2 linked regions of the Saccharomyces cerevisiae S288C genome follow. The main gene of each other region encodes a partner of the protein of the gene in region 2 in a complex. Each region holds a gene or a part of one and is shown on either strand. Other genes may lie near its edges. A codon is read from its position in the direction of its gene.

Region 1 (3,757 bases), on a different chromosome or scaffold from region 2:
CCCAAATGTAGCAGCTAAAGAAGTTTCTAAATTATTGTACTTACCCAAAGGTAACTGTACATCGTAACACAGATCGTACTTCAAATTGTCAAAACGGCTAATATTAGTCAAAAAAATATTTGAGAATTGGTCTTGAACAACGTTGTTTAGCATTCTCAATGTTTCACCGGCATATTCTTTCAAAATTTGATAAGAAGAAACAGTCATTTTTGTAAGAATATTGACCTTGGTTGACTTATCAAATAAGGTTGGAGTTTGGAAACCCTCATCAATATATTTAGAAGCTGGTGAACTGGAGGAATTCTCTGGATTAGAATGAAATTGTAAATGGCCGTCGTGGCACAAATCCATAGTGGCTAAGTATTTTATTACACCTTTAAACAATTGGTATGATGAAAACCCGTGAAGTAATATCTTGTTACTATTTATACCACCACCGTTTAATAACGCTGCCATCAAGATAGTAAATTCAAAAGTACCGAATCCACCCAATGAACCAGAATGCGACATATTGGATGAAAACCCACGTTGCTGCAGCCATAATCTACCTAAAACAGTAGCTTCAACAAAAGATTCTGTTTGTTTCTTCGTCTTGTATAAATACTTCAGGTAGTTTTCATGTGTTGAAGAAGATAACACTGAAAAATTGTAAAGAGGAGTGGCTGGTAAAGATTGCTCTTTGCTTTCTTGTGCTATTCTAATACAGTTTCTATTGGGTAACAGTTTTTTTGGTTCAAAGACTTTGTATGGGAAACCAATAAGCAAGTTGATAGAGAATCTGGTCTTGTAAAAGTTATAATCAGAAAGAGAATCACCCGTTGGTTTGGAACAACTAATTCTTAAAATTGGTAAAAGCGGATCATTATCAAAATAAGAATACTCGAGTTGCAAAAATGAGTCTAATTTATCTTTTTTCAATAATATCAATAGGTGGTGGGTTAGGTATGCTAAATAAACGCTCCTCTTGTGTAAGCACCTGAAATTTAAGAAATCTTTTTTTTCGAACAACTCCTTTGGCATTGTTAGTAAAGTATCAATGGAAGAGCCGTTAGGTTGATAAATTCCAGCTTTAAGAGCAAAGGAGCCAATTAAGGAGATGTCTGGTTTCTTGTAATTGAATTTATAATTAGTATTTTGAGGAATAGGTTTGGGGTCAACAAATGGAACAGAAACAATCTTGTTTTTGAAGAAGGAGTCCACTTCAGCTAATGACTTTTCCTCCCAATCAGGAATTTCCTGGAGAATATCATATAACTTGTGTAGAAATTTTTCGACTTTCAGAACATGTTTTTGTTTTAACTTCACTTGCTCCAGTAATTCGTCAATTTGTAACTTGAAAATATTAGACTTGAATAATTCAGCCGTTTCTCTAGCTATGTGAATATCATAGGACTCTGTTGCAGTAACCTTTCCATTGTGGCGAGTCGCAGCAGTGTTAGTAGCGACCTCGTTACTTTCAGGTGAAGTATCGCTTTCGTCGTTTTCTTGCTCGGGCACGGTACGCTCGTTGATGGCTTGACTACTGTGATCATTTTCTTTGGATCCGTTGTCAGTTGTGCTGTCCTGTGTGGAATGTTTCTTTTGCACTTTAACAATATTCTGGTCAGAAGTCTCAGATGCTTTTCTTTTAACACTTGTAGCCATGGTATATGAAGGAGATCCTTTGTAAAATTTCTATGAAAACTATAATGTTCTACCCCAAAGTGATTATACCTGTGGTTTCAATAATTCAATCAGAGGATAAATCTAACAAAGGAAACTTTGAAGATTTCTTGGAGTTGGTTCTTAAAGTGAAAGCAAATATCTGGCCTTCAAAAAAGCAAAATGAAAACGTCCTGTTTCCAAGTATAAGAGCTGCCGATTTAAATTCTATTAAAAAATAGAATGGAAAAGTATAAGATTAAAACCCTTTGGTTTGCTTGAGATTCTTGACGTAAAGTGCTAGTGGTACATATTGAAATTATCATTTGGTTAAATTTTCCAAATTACAATTGAAATTTTTCAACGGCATGCAGCGAGCCGTAGGCCGACGTTCCCAGGCAGTGGCCACCACCGGTCCTGCCTAAATCTTTACTCGGCCCTGGGCCAACCTTCATGGATGGCGCGATAATTCTATACCGGTCGCCCACCGGATGGACAGAACTTCCGTACAACAAGCAAAAAAAGAGATATATAAAATTATGCCACCTGTCAGAATTGAACTAACGACCTTTGCATTACAAGTGCAACGCTCTACCACTAAGCTAAGGAGGCAAATTTTTACCAAGAGACTCAGATTTGAGAACTAGGAATTTGTTAAAAATAATGAATACGCACATGAAACATAAAGGGATTGTCTAAAACTATAATTGCAAATTTTCTAAAGAAAAGTGAGGTCACCTACCATCAAAACCAACATATATACAAATAAGGGTACTTTTCAAATTCACAATGTGAATTAGATACACAGAAAAAGAGTTACTTTTAGACTAGAAGATGTCTTAGCATTTTGGTTAGTTTGCTATATATCAAATGGTAGCGCTTGCTCAAAATTAAAGCTTACAGTTGTTCTAAAGGAAGGATAGTTTGAACTATATTATAAATTTATAACCAAAATCACTGGGGTATATAAACGATCGCCAATTAGCCAAAAGAATATGATAAAGTTATCAGAAAACTTGGGACGTATTCGAAGTATGTTATTTCTTGATAAGCTTAAGAAATACATTGGATACTTTGAAGAAGCACCTATGCTTTACAGAAAATTGGAGGGGCGGATAATAACAGTTTCAACTAGACGGAAAAATCGATACAAGATAAATTTGGAGGTACGGCAAAAGATTCGCTACCGAGCCTAAATATCCACTTCGTTACGTTCATCCACATGAAGATGTGAACAGGTGTTGGTATTCTCGTGTCCACAGCAGCATCAAAATCAGCAGGCCATGGATAAACTTTCCGTTGTCATAGCAGTGGCGCGGTCGATTCCCTATAATCACGACGATAGGACTGTAGTTGTTATCTTGACATACATCAGTATGCATGCTGAAATTTCCATCGTCGAGCACTATCAGAGCCACGTCCGGTATGTGTTGGAAAACGATCATTTCTTCATTGGCTAGTGTTCACGGCACTAGCATATTATTGTATATGACACAAGAATTAAGGCCCAAGCCATGGGATATAGTTATTGATTTCAGTGGAATCCGAAACTAAGATTAATAATGTAACAGGATATTGAACGACAGAATGCAAAAAGGAAAAAAATAGTAGCACTATTACTTAAAAATACCGATCTCCATTCATGGATCTTTGATCGTCATGAAGAACCCCTAATACATTCCGTATATTTTACCGAATAATGGAAACCTAGAAATTACCAGCAGATTCATCAATTCTTTAGTAGGCGCCTATTCTCGTGTGGAAACTATATTAAAGGGATTCGTCAATAACTAATCGTTACTCAGATTATCCCTATCAAATCGTGATAATATGTGGTAGGCCTCCATCTCTTCGCCAATTTTGCAAAACAACCTGAGAATTGGTCGTAATTGTAACCTAGAAAACTTGATATGAGCACAATTATAAGTTAAAATACGATACAATAATGTTGAGATTGGTTATTGATTAAATTCTATTGTTGTATATTACCAACTTACTCTCTATATTTGCGGTAGTGATAACCTCGTTAGAAACCTCAATCCATTGCAATTCTTTCCATGAACTTAGTATAAATTATAGAATATTAGTTTTCGTAGCTTGTAATGTATTTGAATTG
Region 2 (3,503 bases):
GGGGCCATCACCTAACGAGGCGTTAAAACAGTTGCGTGCATCTAAAGAAGACTCCTGCGAACGGATCTTGAAAAACGCAATGAAAAGACATAACTTAGCAGATCAGGATTGGAGACAATATGTCTTGGTCATTTGCTATGGGGATCAAGAGAGGCTGTTAGAATTGAACGAAAAGCCTGTGATCATATTCAAGAACTTAAAGCAACAGGGTTTGCACCCCGCCATTATGTTAAGAAGAAGAGGTGATTTCGAAGAAGTAGCAATGATGAACGGAAGTGACAATGTCACCCCCGGTGGAAGACTCTAATGTGCAGTTGTCATGCACATCATCATACTAAACTTACACGAATAGGATAACATGTATGCTAGCAGAATATATATGAAAGAAAAAAATTATTGATGCCTTTAAACTTATACTATTATACTATATTATGTTATATTATATTATTAGTTTTATAGATATATTGAGATATGTTGAATATGATGACGAGGATGGTGGTTTAAGTGTATGGATTGAATTTTCTCTTAGCTTTCATTACCTTGATTCTTTCTTGATCTTCCTTAAATTTACTTAACAGTTGATTGATCTCCTGTTTTTTACGTTCTCTGACCTGAAATCTATAGAAATCTTTCTTTGCCTTTTTATCTATATTTGAAATTGGCTTGGCCTTATTTTCATGTTTGGATAATGGATTTTTGTTTAATATTTTCTTTCTTATGGAATTCAATGACTTGGTGTTCTTTCCTACAACTAATGTGAATCCATCCTCATCCACTATAGAACTTTGAACATCCTCTTGTGCTTGAGCTTCACGCTGTTCAAAAATTGCCATATGTGTATGAATATCTTCTTTCAAATAATCAATATCCAGTGGTTTGTAGAAGTTAACAAAAGTTGTGAATGATGGAGTCGTATATGTCCATTCAAATAGTTCATTTGGATGTTTGGCATGCAAATTCGAGTATTTTTTCAAAGCATTCCAGCAGTTATTTATACTTGCAGCATCAACAAATTTTAATAGCGCCGTGTTTCTTGGTGTGTATCTCTTCTCGTTGACGTCAGTGGAGGACATCAGATCGGAGGTCAATGCCGATAAATCTACTTCATGTAATCCAAATTCATCGTTATATAGTAGTTCCTCTACATGCGATACTGTATCGTATTTCCCACAGAGCTGCCCGACAAATTTCTTCATGTGCTCTATGTTAGATAATAATGGAAGGTTGACCAAAAACAAACAGTCAGACTCGTTGGAATTTGAACTCTGGTGTCTTTTAGCAAACATGAAATGCAACGAAGCTTCCTGGCTTTTGGGTAGTGCCTTGTGATCCGGTAATTTGAACGGCACCACTATAAACCCGTTCTTCATGGCGCTAATGTCTTCAATACCCATCCCGTAACACTCTATCTGAGGTTGTTATCTGTTACCTAGTTCGTTCGCCCTAAATGCCTCTTGCTTTACCATCCTCTCAATGTTCTCTTCTTTTTCCTGCTTATTTCTTAGGTGACCAAAAAGTGAAAAATTTTCCAATTTAACTTACGTCGTTCGAAGTGATGACAATAAGGATATTCATTTATTAATCGCTATTTGATACCCACTCTTGCTACTACCTCTCTTTTAATCCAAAATTACAATTTTTACGTTACCATTCATTACATAGTGTATCTCTATTCATTCAAGACTGTATTTTGTTTGATATATATATGTATATATACATATTATTTTCGTTAGTGTTCGGTTTCCAAGTTAGAAATAATCTACTGGAAATCCTTTGGGATCAACCCAAGCTTACTCATTCTGATTTTCACAGCGTTTCTGTGACCGTCTAGACCCTCCTTCTTGGCAACGCACATAACAGCTCTACCGATGTTTTCTAAACCTTCAGGGGTAATGTTTTGGGCAGTGATAAACTTTTGGAAGGTTGCAGTGTTGGCACCACTGTACTGCCTAGCGTAACCATAGGTTGGTAATGTATGGTTAGTACCACTTGAATAGTCACCGCACGATTCTGGAGTGTAAGCACCCACAAATACGGACCCTGCATTGTCAACCAATTTAACATAATCGTTAGCATTGGCGATTTGTAGAATCAAATGTTCTGGTGCATATTGGTTGGACATTTCAAGGGCTTCTTCGTAACCGTCACAAAGAACGATCGTACTGTGAGCAATACATTTACGAACAATATCCACACGTGGCAGTTGTAAAGCTTGATTGTGGACAGCATCTTGAATCTCTTGAATTTTCTTTTCGCTCAAGTTAACACCAACAAGGATAACTTGGGAGTCAATACCGTGTTCAGCTTGCGATAGCAAATCACTTGCAACAAAATCCACATCGGCATCTTCATCGGCAATAACCAAAACTTCACTTGGGCCAGCTGGCATATCAATGGAACATAGAGCTTGAGTGTCATTTTGAACATACATTTTGGCGGCAGTCACAAATTGATTACCTGGACCCAAGATCTTATCCACTTTAGGAATAGTTTCTGTCCCGTAAGCCATAGCAGCAACGGCTTGGGCACCACCAGCTAGAACAATCTTGGAAGCGCCAACTTTTTCTGCGACATAAACAACTTCGGGTGAAACTTTACCATCAGATTTTCTTGGTGGAGATGCAAACACAATCTCCTTACATTGGGCAACTTGTGCTGGAACACCAAGCATTAATGCAGTACTTGGTAAAATGGCAGTGCCACCAGGGATATACAAACCAACTTTTTCAATAGGACGAGGGAATCTGGAACACAAGACACCAGGTTGGGTTTCAACTTCAAGAGTCTCTGTTGGCAATTGAGCAGCATGGAATTTGCGGACGTTTTCAATTGAAAGGTCCAAAGCTTCCTTCATTTCCTCGGTTAAACCTTCAAAGTATTCTTCTGGGAATGGAGCATTAAGAACAGGATTGGATAATTTTACACCATCAAACTTTTCTGTGTACTCCAAAAGGGCAGAGTTACCTTTGTCTCTAACATTTTCGATGATCGGATTGACTAAATGCATAATTTCAGAAGTCTTTTGGATTGGTCTGCTCAAAGCCTTCTGCACACCAACTTTGTCGGAAGCCTTCACCACGTCCAAGTGAATTGGACCGGTCAGTTTTTCTTCTTCAGCCTTTGGTTGTCCAACAAACTTTGGCTTAGCATCACCTTTCCGTCTTGTAACCTTCAGATGCTTCATATTCAGATTATTCTCGACGTCCTTCAATGAAACATCGTTGGCCACTAATTTGGCCAGTGCAAAGTAGAACAAATCGGCAGCCTCCCAAGAAAGCTCCTTCTTACCCTTTGCCTCAGTCAGTTCTTCAGCTTCTTCCTTGATCTTGGCATCTAACAATGCAGAGTCGTTGAATAGTCTTCTAGTATAAGATTCCTCTGGAGCGTCCTGTAGCCTTTGTTTTAGTAAAGATTCTAGCCCCACCAAACCATGCTTGAATTCACCAAAGCAAGACATGGTCTCCAAGTGGCAAAATCCAACGTTTTCTTGTTCAACGATAAAC

Evidence for each region. The genes of interacting proteins can lie anywhere in the genome.
Region 1: the proteins of RRP7 (region 2) and UTP22 are in contact, whole or in part, in a crystal structure (PDB 4M5D), measured with the Saccharomyces cerevisiae proteins. Residues at the interface, in NP_009899.1 of Saccharomyces cerevisiae: Ile3 (codon at 1,388), Ile6 (codon at 1,379), Ala8 (codon at 1,373), Met9 (codon at 1,370), Lys10 (codon at 1,367), Asn11 (codon at 1,364), Phe13 (codon at 1,358), Val15 (codon at 1,352), Leu20 (codon at 1,337), Pro21 (codon at 1,334), Asp22 (codon at 1,331), His23 (codon at 1,328), Ala25 (codon at 1,322), Leu26 (codon at 1,319), Ser33 (codon at 1,298), Leu34 (codon at 1,295), His35 (codon at 1,292), Phe36 (codon at 1,289), Phe38 (codon at 1,283), Phe54 (codon at 1,235), Val56 (codon at 1,229), Asn57 (codon at 1,226), Leu58 (codon at 1,223), Pro59 (codon at 1,220), Leu60 (codon at 1,217), Leu61 (codon at 1,214), Glu92 (codon at 1,121), Phe93 (codon at 1,118), Gly94 (codon at 1,115), Leu95 (codon at 1,112); in NP_011604.3 of Saccharomyces cerevisiae: Asp794, Glu795, Ile796, Thr797, Ser798, Lys801, Ala802, Thr804, Ala805, Leu808, Phe824, Phe825, Ser826, Arg827, Glu829, Tyr833, Asn834, Leu835, Glu836, Val838, Leu862, Tyr863, Arg865, Ala866, Asn869, Ala870, Leu874, Glu877, Leu878, Thr1104.

The regions. Positions count from the first base shown.
Region 1 is NC_001139.9:660,245-664,001, reverse strand, and holds the start of UTP22 (rRNA-processing protein UTP22), read right to left. Parts: upstream 1,645-3,757; coding exon 1-1,644. UniProt on the Saccharomyces cerevisiae protein: Involved in nucleolar processing of pre-18S ribosomal RNA and ribosome assembly.
Region 2 is NC_001135.5:64,175-67,677, forward strand, and holds RRP7 (Rrp7p), read right to left. Parts: upstream 1,395-3,503; coding exon 501-1,394; downstream 1-500. Other genes in the region: STE50 (Ste50p), read left to right, coding at 1-307; HIS4 (trifunctional histidinol dehydrogenase/phosphoribosyl-AMP cyclohydrolase/phosphoribosyl-ATP diphosphatase), read right to left, coding at 1,760-3,503. UniProt on the Saccharomyces cerevisiae protein: Plays an important role in the synthesis of 18S rRNA but is not required for the 5.8S and 25S pathway. Is necessary for the cleavage at site A2. Is required for efficient association of RPS27 with the pre-ribosomal particle.